3 linked regions of the Kluyveromyces lactis genome follow. The protein of the gene in region 1 interacts with the protein of each later gene in a pairwise test. Links are inferred from orthologs where the notes say so. Each region holds a gene or a part of one and is shown in the gene's direction. Other genes may lie near its edges.

Region 1 (4,018 bases):
CAGGTTGCTACGTGAGCATGGTTATCAATCTCGTGGGTTCGAAGTAATGTATAATGGTCATACCGGTAAAAAGTTGATGGCACAAATTTTCTTCGGCCCTACATACTACCAAAGATTAAGGCATATGGTGGATGATAAAATTCACGCGAGAGCAAGAGGTCCGATGCAAGTACTAACAAGACAACCCGTGGAAGGTAGATCCAGAGACGGTGGTTTAAGATTCGGTGAGATGGAACGTGATTGTATGATTGCTCACGGTGCCGCCGCCTTCTTGAAGGAAAGATTAATGGAAGCTTCGGATGCATTCAGAGTACACATTTGCGGTATCTGTGGGTTAATGTCAGTTGTTGCAAAGTTGAAGCACAATCAATTTGAATGTCGTTCATGTAAAAACAAAATTGACATTTATCAAGTGCACATTCCTTATGCAGCTAAGTTACTATTCCAAGAATTAATGGCCATGAATATTGCACCACGTCTTTACACTGACCGTTCAAAGGATTTTTAATAAACATATATTGAATGCATGATATCGCTCTTGCGATGTCTTTTAAAAAGGTAATGTAAAAAATAAAATTAAACTTAAAATTAAGCAATAATTTGTACTGGTTTATAATGTTTTGTAGAATATAAAGAAAATAATTTAAAAGCAACAATTAGCATTGTATTATGAAACCCCCTTAGTAAGTAGTTAGAACTGCCATAAACAACTATATACACTATCTTGTCTTGTTCTTTTTCTTTTGTCCCAATTCACTGTTCGTTCTTACACTGTCGCCAATTTTCACATCAAACTGGAAAAGTCGAAAATCATAACTTGCTTCAAGAATTTTTAACCATTCATACTAACTGCAACATATAGTAGTGACATATTTGATCCTGGGAGATTTAATAACCATCTTTACTGCTTGAAGTAATACTTCACTGGCGTAGGGGAAATCTAATTACCTGCTACTGTATTACTTATTTAAAGACCGCACCTTTTGGTGCTGCATTATCACTTGGATATCCACCTTTTATTAGCATCAACTGAATTCGCAAGGGATACAACATATAAGAGACTCTATTACCTCTTTAGGCACCTATCCTCTAAACTTTATACCATTATTTGAGATCAGTTAATTGCTGACTATTGGACGTTGAAATATTGTAACAATTGAAATAATTGAAGAAATACGCGTAACAACATTCTTCCAACTTTTTAACGATGAGCATGAATCTAACTAGTATCGATCCTCAAATTAGATCAGTTATTCTTCCATTCAAGAATAAAATTCTAGATTCGCTTGCAGATAGGGTCGGTCCTGATTTTGAAGAACTTTCGTTGGTTACAAAGGTGGTAGAGACCGTAGGACCTCTCATACATGACAAGAATTACCATTTCTTCTGCGATCCTGATTTAGGTCCTGTTATCAGTTTCCTGGTCATAATTTTCTCCGTTCCACGGGAACAGCAGGCGATCCAGTGGTACTGTGATAAGTTTTCTCCAATTTTAGCATCGTGTCCAAACTGTTCCCAGGCATTCTTTTCTTATAAGAATCAGATCATTCAACGTTATATCGTGAACAAAGGCATTGCGTACTCTAACATCGATGGGTTTGATCTAATGATCTGCAGATGGAGATCGGATACTTTAATTAAAAGATTGGGATCTATCAAATCTAAAGATCTTTCTAATGAACAAAAAATTGCATTCACGGAATGCTTCTGGTATCCAAGAGTATTGAAACATTCCCAAAGTTTGAAGGTGTTGTTCAACAATGCATTCGATATATTGGTACGGGAAAAATCACCATTATTAGAGTATTCCTCGGATAATTCTCTATCAGCATTAACGGCAGGCTCTGTCTTTATGTTGATGGAAGGAACTCCAGCTCAGATATCATGGGCACTGGGGCTATTAGATTGGCTATACGAACGAAATTATAAAATTACTGTTGAAAATCTTCCTCTGGGAGCTCTACAGGAAGTAAACACACATTATATTTACTTGATCAGTAAGCAATTTGGCAAGGATCAACAACACAACATCAACTCCCTAAACTCCATGGCAATTGCATGGATTAGATTGACGGCTCTTTTCAGCTTAATGACGAAGGAAGTTTTAGAGCTTCACTTTCTAGTACCAAAATTCACCCGAAGTTTGAAAAACGCAGGAACAATGGATGTTCCTTCAATCATTCATTTGTGGTATAATTGGTTCTCCGTTCCTGATCCTGCTAGACCGTTGGATGTTATGTTGAAAGTACTAAGCCTTTTTTTAGAGAAATTTGGCCAGGATTTTTGGTTATACTTGAAACCATTTAATTTCCACACATTATTGGACCTTATATTTGCTCAGGGTACTTTTGCTAACACGTTATTGAGGAAACAAGATTTTCCTATCTTACGTGATGGCAAAGAAACATGGCTTTCCTTAACTGGGTCAATTTCTGACTTAATAACATGGTGCATACCGTTTTACAATTCATTATCTTCTGCCAAAAAGATGCAAATGGTGAAGAAGATATCTACTGGATTTCTTATGACAATATGTGAATGTAACAAGATGTTACAAACGCTACCGAAGCTTCTTTTGATGAGTTATTCTTTACAGTTATTGAATAACGTGTTGGAAATAGATGACAAGAAGAGAGCATTGTTGTATACGAACTCGGACCTTCAAAATGAGCTCCTCACTGTGGCTGACTGCAGGAAGGTTGTGAACCACCTGAAGATATCACAACTACTATGCGATACTGTCCAGGCTCCCGACAAAGTTTTTCCTGGCATGCAGGTAGATGCCTTGTCACTCAATGCTATGAAAGTCTTATCTCATTGTATCGAATATGATATCTTAAATTTATGTGAAACCACCTTCAAATTGTACACTGGAGGATCTGTCAATAAACACCACATATTAGATCTCGATATGAAGCGGTTTTTTTTAAATCCTTTGGTCCACAGTTTGAATTTAATGTCACTGGGATCAAATGGACCTAAACATGTCCTACATATAATGACAGCATTGACTAACGCCAACGGATTAATGATATTAAATGTTAAAGGATTAGAAGCAGAAAACCAGAACAAAATTACAAGTGGATACATCAACATTATCCGCCAACTAGTTATGAAATGTTCTGAGCTTCCGTCTGAAAAATTAATTGGAGTTCTTGCGAACAGGAAAGCCGCCCATGGGCTATGGTCCTGTCTCTTTTCCTCAGATACAGACTTGTATCAAGAAACAACTAACATCCTTTATGAGGTCTTCAACGTCGAAGGGCGTCTGGAAGGTTTGCATGAACTTTTTAAAAGTAATTTATCGACGAGCTTGCATTGTATATCCATCGTTTTGAGACAGTTAACGAAAACAAAATTTTTTGAACCATGCCCTAGAGCTATAAGAGTTATGATGGACGTTCTCTCACTCTTCAATGAGCCAGTCACCGGTATTTTTTCTGATTTTGAGAAGTTTAAAGATTCAGATTCAAATGATGAACTATTCAGTTTTTGGCGTTCTTCATGGACATTTTTGGATATGATTTATCTAGAAACCATTCAATGGACCTCAAGGTATTCAAATGTGGTATTGGAGAATTTCACAAGAGATGTGCTAGAGGTTAGCAATATGCTAATGGGTTCTTATAGGGAGTTCTCCGATGTTTTAGTCAAGGGAAATATAACTGAAGATGATCTTTTCAAATTCCCAATGAGCCCATTCAAAAATATGCTTTACTGGTTGAGGTTGAATGATGAACAGCTTCTTGCCTCTTGTGTCATGTTAATAGTATCAGCTTCTGATCTTGCGAAGGAGAAACAATTTCGATTTGATGAAATGCTAGTGTTGGATATGGCAAGATATGCTTCAAAAGCTCGAAAATATCCAAACAAACTTTCAGCGGCTCAGAGCCAAGAGCTTCTTGAAAGATCCCGTTACTTCAACAAAGCCTTGACAAACGAAGTTGTTAAAGAATCTGAAAAGTATCACTTAGAAAAAGCATTACTGAAAAAGGGTACTAAACCTTCTGGATCCTTA
Region 2 (4,230 bases), on another chromosome or scaffold:
ATCATGCTCATGAGACCTCACTGATTCCTTACAAGCATCAATATTCCCCTCTACAACTTCCTCCCCCAACGATTCATCCTTAGACACGACGGCATCAAGCCCACGCACTGAAATAACTGCCATTACTTACTGTTTCCTTTATTATTCTGAATACCGGTTTAAAGCTTGTAAATGTTTAAAGGTTTAATTAAGTCTTTAATGGAATGATGGCTCAACTTTTAATATTTCTCTTGAATTGAAAAGAAATGAAAATTTCAAAGGAAAAGGAAAAAAAAACTGGAAATGAGAGAATATTAATTATGGGTACTTTATATACATTTATATTAGAAGTTTGTCTGGTCATATATTTTGAATCGGACGCAGATGGAGAATAGACCTCGTATTTATACGTTTTATGTGCTACAATAGATATCGTGCCCAATCTTGTGAATTTGTTTTTTTAGTTCCCAGATGATATAATGACTCTGGTTGGGTCTGAGACAGATAAGGTATCCCGGATTGCAACTACCCCTCTGTAAGTTACCTCAAGTCATTCACTGGCATATATCTCTACATATAAAAATATAATGATAATTATGCTAACAATTCTAGCCCTTTGTATCTTGGTCCGGAAATCGGTAAGTAACTTCCTCTTTTTTTTTTTGCTAAACGATATCCTTTCCCTACAGGGACACCCAGAAGAAATCGGGAGCAGTATTAGCCAGCCACTACAGATACCACACATCAGTGTTTCTAACATTCATCCAGAACCGAGAAAAATCTGTTAAGTTTCGGGAAAAAACAGTGACCTCTAAGAACTCGGCTTTCATAGAGGTATGACTTGTGATAAGTAGTTCTCCACTTAAAAAAATCTTTTAAATCTTTCCAGTGGTATCAGAAGAATGGTCGACTTTACATTGTGTAGTACGCTAAGTTTCAGTACCAGTAACGTACTGCGCCAGGTCCGTCTTCTCTGTTGAACATCTTCCCTTGTCTAGCGTCAGCACCTGATTGTTGCCGTTTTCTTTGTTCATTCAAATTTTCAGTTTGTTTTTCAAATTAATTTTTCGAAAAAAAAAATTTTCAAAAATTAAAACTGACGCTGACGCGCGACATAGATGGAATTAGTATCCCATTTTCAAGGGGAACAGCATTTGAAGCTCCCGGAGTCTATCAGATAATGCTGTGAAGTATGGTTTTACTTACTGCCGCTTGAGGGGCTTAGTTACGCTTCTGATATAATTTTTTTTGACTTTGGGGTTGGCGGGTCTCACGTGATATTAGCATTATTCATTACCCGGACACAAATTAGTCTCTATTTATAAGCCATACATTTGCCTTTATGCATTAAGTGTAAAGAACTGTTGCAGTCTTCAACTCATCTTACAGCAGGTACTGACTGGCGACCTCCACATGCACCAGCTCCAGTCAATAATCCATGGGTGTTCATTCATTATGGGATATAGTGTCGCCTGTGGCTAAACCGGTTCGGTTAGAGTCCCTCAATGAGAGGAGAATGGCAGTCGATGCCTCCATTTGGATTTATCAGTTTCTTAAAGCGATGAGAAATAAGGAAGGTGATGCCTTGAGAAACGCCCATATCATAGGTTTTTTCAGAAGAATATGTAAGTTGTTATACTACGGGATTAAACCTGTGTTCGTCTTTGATGGCGGTGTTCCTGTGTTGAAGCTAAATACAATCCGTGAGAGGAAAGAGAGAAGACAGGGGAAAAGAGATACTGCCAATGCTACTGCTAGACGGTTACTTGCAAGGCAAATCCACCAGTCACAGACAGATAAAGAGTCTTCACCAAAAAAGAAGAAGCAGTCACCGGATGAAAATGGCCAGACAGGCTCAGAGACTGGATCGTTTTTTTATCCTCACGATGAGTACCATTTACCGGAGATTAAAGGGTTCTCATATGAAAAAGATGATCTAAGAATTACTGACACTGACGATTATAAGACCGTTATGGAACAAATCGATGACTTAGATGGTATAGATTTGGATTCCATCAATCCAGCTTCAAAAGAATTCGATGAATTACCGAAATCAACTCAGTATTTGATTCTTTCAGCCTTAAGGTTGAAATCCAGATTGAGATTGGGTTATACAAAGGAACAGTTAGAACATGTCTTCTCAGATAGTATGGAGTTTTCAAAGTTCCAGATTGAAATGGTTAAAAGAAGGAACTTCTTTACACAGAAATTAATGAATGTAACTGGAATGCACGATGGCGGTGCTTCAAAATTAGACGACGAAGTCGTCAACAGAGTATCTGGACAAAGGGATCGGAAATATGCCTTGATACGTACAGATAACGGATGGGCTCTAAGTCTTACGGGTAACGATGGGTCAGAATCCACTAAGGCAATAAAGTTAGATGAAGACGAAGAAGAGGATGCGAGCCAGCTAGATTGGGAAGAAGTTGATACCAAACCAAAACCCAAGAAAAAACAACTGGATTATTCGATGAACGCTTCTTTGTTGCCTCGCTTATCAACAACTAAGACACAAGGTGGAAGTCAATCGTTTTTTGATAAGAGACCTGACCTTGCACCTAGTACGTCACATTTACTCGACGAAGATGAGGACGACGGAACAAATGACCATCCTGCCGTTAATAATGTCGAAAAGGAAGACGATAACGATAGTAACGAAGATGACTATGCGATGTTGTTGAAAGAGACAAAAGCGATGTCAGAATATCAAAGAAGACAAAAAGAGTTACCGGTTCAAAAAAATATCATACCACAGGTGGAGGTAAACATCGAAAGCACGGAATCAGAGTCAGATGGAGAGTTCGAAGACGTCAACTTCAAACCAACCGTTATTAGTAATTCTGAAGGCGGGCCTTCTAATTCAGCTGCGCATAGACCATCGAATGATAACACTGTTTCTTCGATAGTGGAAAAACCTAGTGCCATTCCAATAATTGACCATAAGGTGTCCCAGCAAAATCTTGATTCAATTGTCAGTAAGATACCGGAATTCTCTTTTTCATTGAGTATGAGAGGTAAGGCGTTTGAAGACAACGAAAAATCAGAGCCAGGGGAAACTGCTCCGACATCAACTGATACTCAAGAGAAACAGGCTCAGGAAGTTCCAGCGTGGTTCTCCTCCACCGCCAATAGAAACCCATATTCGAGCAGCTCTTTCGTCGCAGATAGGGAGAAGAGTGATGTAAGACCTGAAGATCAGTACGGGATCTTGACTGGTGAAGCTGCACAGGAGCTGGTTAAAAATAGAATTGGCTATCACCATCCAGAACTGATAGACTTAGATCAATTAGAGCGGGATGATAATGAAGATGAAGTTGAAGATGATGCCGTAATTGAAGTCTCTAAACGAGATTTGAACGAACAGAAATCTCCTTCTGGGAAAGGTTTTTCAACCACAAAAGACAGTACCTCCAGTAGGATTTCTGAAGGTAACGATTCAGACTCAGATAACTTGGTTGAATCCGAATCTGCAGCTACTCGTGAACAACTTCCTATTTTAGACTACGACTTTTATGAAGATGAAGAAGAACGCCTAGCTGAGCAACTAACGAGGGAACAAGAAGACTACAACCACTTCAAATCTACTTTGAATCCAAACTTGGTGAACACTGCATTTTTAGAAGATGAACTCTTTGAGCAGCAGAAGAAGGATAAGAGGGATGCGGATGAAGTCACCATAGAGATGATTCATGAAATTCAGAGTCTTTTATCACGGTTTGGTATACCGTACATCACGGCACCAATGGAAGCAGAAGCTCAATGTGCAACTTTATTACAGTTGAAACTAGTAGATGGTGTTATTACGGATGATAGTGATGTTTTCTTGTTTGGGGGTACTCATGTTTACAAGAATATGTTTCAAGAGAAGAACTATGTCGAATATTATAGTTTAGATTTGTTTGATCAAAAACTTGGTCTTGATAGGGATAAATTGATACAATTAGCACAACTACTAGGAAGTGATTATACCCCTGGCCTTAGAGGTATAGGACCTGTAATGGGAGTAGAGATTTTAGCCGAATTCGGATCTCTTAAAGAGTTTGCCAAGTGGTACAACGAAGGTCAATTTGATAAGCAAAAGCTAGAAGGGGAAACTGCTTTCCAAAAGCAATTGAGAAAAAGGTTGGTTAGTAATGAAATCATCTTGGATGACAACTTCCCCAGTGAAGCTGTATATGATGCCTATATCCACCCCACAGTCGACGCGGATAAGACTAAATTTGTGTGGGGGTCTCCAGATTTGGATAA
Region 3 (3,164 bases), on another chromosome or scaffold:
TTTCTCAGATATTATAGGGAGCTTAGATCTTGTCGGCAAGACTGAGTCCGCCGAGAGTTGGATGCATCCTGATTCATTTGGTGAAGTCTTACTCGGTCAGCAATGTGAAATTTGTGACACAGAGCTATATTCAGATCCTGGTCCAAATGATCTTGATTTGTGGCTTCATGCTTATCGGTACGAATCCACCGAGCTTGATTCTGATGGAAAAAAATTATGGAGTTACAGAACGGACTTCCCTGACTGGGCGATTGAGCCGCACAGAAAATTTATGGAGTTGGCGATAGATGAGGCAAGAAATTGTGGTGAAACTCAAACTGCCTTTAATGTAGGCGCACTCCTTGTCAACGGAACTGATATACTTTCCACCGGTTATTCGAGAGAATTACCAGGAAATACTCATGCTGAGCAATGTGCATTAGATAAATACTTCACAAAATCAGAAGGTGCGAAACTTCCAGATGGAACCATCATTTACACAACAATGGAACCTTGTTCTCTAAGGCTCAGTGGTAACTTGCCATGCGTAGACCGAATAATCCAAACAACTGGCGCTATAAAGACTGTCTTCGTGGGTGTTATGGAACCGGACATTTTTGTCAAGAATAATACCAGCTATCACAAGTTGGCACAATATGGAATCGACTATATTCTCATTCCTGGTTATGAGGAAGAGTGCTTAAAGGTTGCATGTAAAGGTCACGACAAAACCCAGAACTAAGCTTATCAAAAATCACTGGTGATTTTGTTTTGTAGGAAACTATATTTGTTAACATGCAATTCCAAGATAAACCCGTCACAAAGTTTGTGAATTGTATAGTGAAGATATATATCGCACACAAATGTCGGCAAAACAGTCTAACCACTTTGAAATCCAACCCTGTTTATATCAATCCGTTCATACATAGACATTTTGTAATTGAAGGTATTTAGCAAAATCCAAGATGTTAGAAAACGGTTGAAACAGCAAAAACACTAATAGCTTCTAAAGCGATTATACAGGACGTTTGTAAATGATCCAATTTGAATGTGGTATTACAGAGTAACAGCCAATACTATTATTATTATTATGCACATTATTATTGGTGCTTGTCTGTGCTAGTTTCCTTGTCACAATTCTCTGAAGTAGTTACCCTGACCATACCAATCATTTGAAAAGCTCTATGTGAACCTTCTCTTACAGAGGAGCATAGAAAAGAACTTCTGATGAACCGATGACCTATATCAAGATATCTAAATCTCTTACTCAGCACCTCAAGAACTGCCAAAGGATTTCCGAAATGATAGACGGTCGTATTATCTCCAACGACGAAAATAGAATTGCTGACCTCTATACATATTCACAAATCATCAAGTTGGAGCATTCTATTACTGATTTAGTAAAGCAACTAAAGACAGTTATTGAACTCTCACCAAATATCAAACAGTATCACCAGGCACTAGACCAGTTACCTACAATGTCTAGCGATTTGATCCCATCTTTTGATAGATACCAGCTTAAGTTGGCCGCTGAATTGACTTCATTGTATCAACTGGGTAAACTAGAGCTATTCAATAATATTATTCATTACAGTGATAAGTTCAAAAGTGGAAGCTCCACACCGATATTACCTGAACTACAAAATGAAAACCTTGATTTACTCTCAGCCAATGTTACCAAATCATTACATATAAATTCTCACGAAAATTCAAAAGCTACCGATGAGGAAGAAGAGGAAGACGATGATGAAGATGGATATGAGGTTATAGATAATGCAGTGACTGATCTAAAAAAAGGTAAAGAATGGCCTCCGAAACTGCCGAAAATCAAAAACCCTGTGATCAGGGCTCGTGTCTTTATTCATAAATCAATGATTAACGATAAACTGTATTTAACTGACCAAGAAATTATCAGATCACATAATGAAAGACTGGAGTTTTTAGGTGATTCCATATTGAATACAACAATGACCACTATCATTTATAACAAGTTTCCACATTTTGATGAAGGGCAACTCTCTCAACTCAGAATGAGATTGATCAACAACGAGCTGTTAAAAGAATGGTCTTTTCTATACAAGTTTCCAGATGAATTGAAGACTCACAATGTAAAACCTGATGACAACAAAGATGGAAAACAAAAGCTATACGCTGATGTTTTTGAAGCTTACATTGGTGGCTTAGTAGAAGATAATGGTAAGAAAAACCTTCCAAAAATAAGGAAATGGCTTGCGAAATTGGCAGAACCTGTTATATCAAAGGGACTAAATTCTGACATAACACTAGAAAATACGACAGAAGTTGATGTAAACGCCAAGAAAACCCTTTACTCTTTGATCGGATATGCAGCGCTAAATCTCCATTACTACCCTGTCCACAAACCAACCTCTACTGACCCAAATGCCATAGTGGAATGCAGGATTACTGGCGGTAAAGTATTGGGCAGAGGTGTCGGAAAGAACATAAAGATAGCAGGAATGCGTGCTGCAGAGGACGTCTTAAATAATAAGGAGCTAATAGAGAAATACGTGAGCCTGCGAGCTTCCCTCCCAAAATCTGAATCTGTGATTAAGGCAAACAATGATAATACCAAGAAGCGGAAACACGAAGGTCACAGTAATGATCGCGGCAAATTAAAACTACTAGCAGATGGATCTTTTGCATTCAAATAGTTTTTTGTTGTATTTTTTCTTAACGAGTACGATAAATGCATACAAATTCTAGGCTTAAACTATCTAATCTATAAACTGCTTATCAGTATGTATTCTTTTTGAGGGTGGTGAAGACACCACGTTAGCGTTAAGGTTGTGACTATCATTTGGTTGGTCGTCAGCAGAAGTAACGGTTTTACGTTTTCTTTTGTGTTCTACCCCTTCATGTTCACGTTGCACAAGTGTTAATAGAGTGGCTATTCTCTTAGAAATATCCAAAGGTGTCCTTGTTTTAATAAACCAAGAAAATATGAACAATGGACTTTTCAGTATTTCCTGCTTGACTCTTTCATATAGATTACTGGCAAACAAACCCAAGTTACCGACAGTAACGAGTAAAAATATATCTTCTAATGAATTGTAAGTTCTTCTGGTATTGTTGGGAGGATATAATATTTTCAATTCTACTAAGGGATACTGATATTGCTGAAGCTTCTGCTTCAAAATTGTTTCCTGTATCTTTAGCTTTTCAGT

What was found.
Region 2: the proteins of SEN1 (region 1) and RAD2 interact in binary tests that used the Saccharomyces cerevisiae proteins (3 or more experiments, as listed by UniProt). The link is inferred for Kluyveromyces lactis from reciprocal best matches to the Saccharomyces cerevisiae genes SEN1 and RAD2.
Region 3: the proteins of SEN1 (region 1) and RNT1 interact in a two-hybrid assay, tested with the Saccharomyces cerevisiae proteins (3 studies listed by BioGRID). The link is inferred for Kluyveromyces lactis from reciprocal best matches to the Saccharomyces cerevisiae genes SEN1 and RNT1.

The regions. Positions count from the first base shown.
Region 1 is NC_006038.1:498,180-502,197, reverse strand, and holds the start of SEN1 (DNA/RNA helicase SEN1), read left to right. Parts: upstream 1-1,207; coding exon 1,208-4,018. Other genes in the region: DNA-directed RNA polymerase II subunit RPB2, read left to right, coding at 1-508. UniProt on the Saccharomyces cerevisiae protein: ATP-dependent 5'->3' DNA/RNA helicase required for the expression and maturation of diverse classes of non-protein-coding RNAs like precursor tRNAs, rRNAs and small nuclear (snRNA) and nucleolar (snoRNA) RNAs.
Region 2 is NC_006037.1:821,467-825,696, reverse strand, and holds the start of RAD2 (ssDNA endodeoxyribonuclease RAD2), read left to right. Parts: upstream 1-1,417; coding exon 1,418-4,230. Other genes in the region: TNA1 (Tna1p), read right to left, coding at 1-123. UniProt on the Saccharomyces cerevisiae protein: Single-stranded DNA endonuclease involved in excision repair of DNA damaged with UV light, bulky adducts, or cross-linking agents. Essential for the incision step of excision-repair.
Region 3 is NC_006042.1:2,307,128-2,310,291, forward strand, and holds RNT1 (ribonuclease III), read left to right. Parts: upstream 1-1,214; coding exon 1,215-2,651; downstream 2,652-3,164. Other genes in the region: KLLA0_F24794g (uncharacterized protein), read left to right, coding at 1-721; ISW2 (DNA translocase), read right to left, coding at 2,715-3,164. UniProt on the Saccharomyces cerevisiae protein: DsRNA-specific nuclease that cleaves eukaryotic pre-ribosomal RNA at the U3 snoRNP-dependent A0 site in the 5'-external transcribed spacer (ETS) and in the 3'-ETS. In vitro, cleaves synthetic 5'-ETS RNA A0 site in the absence of snoRNA or other factors.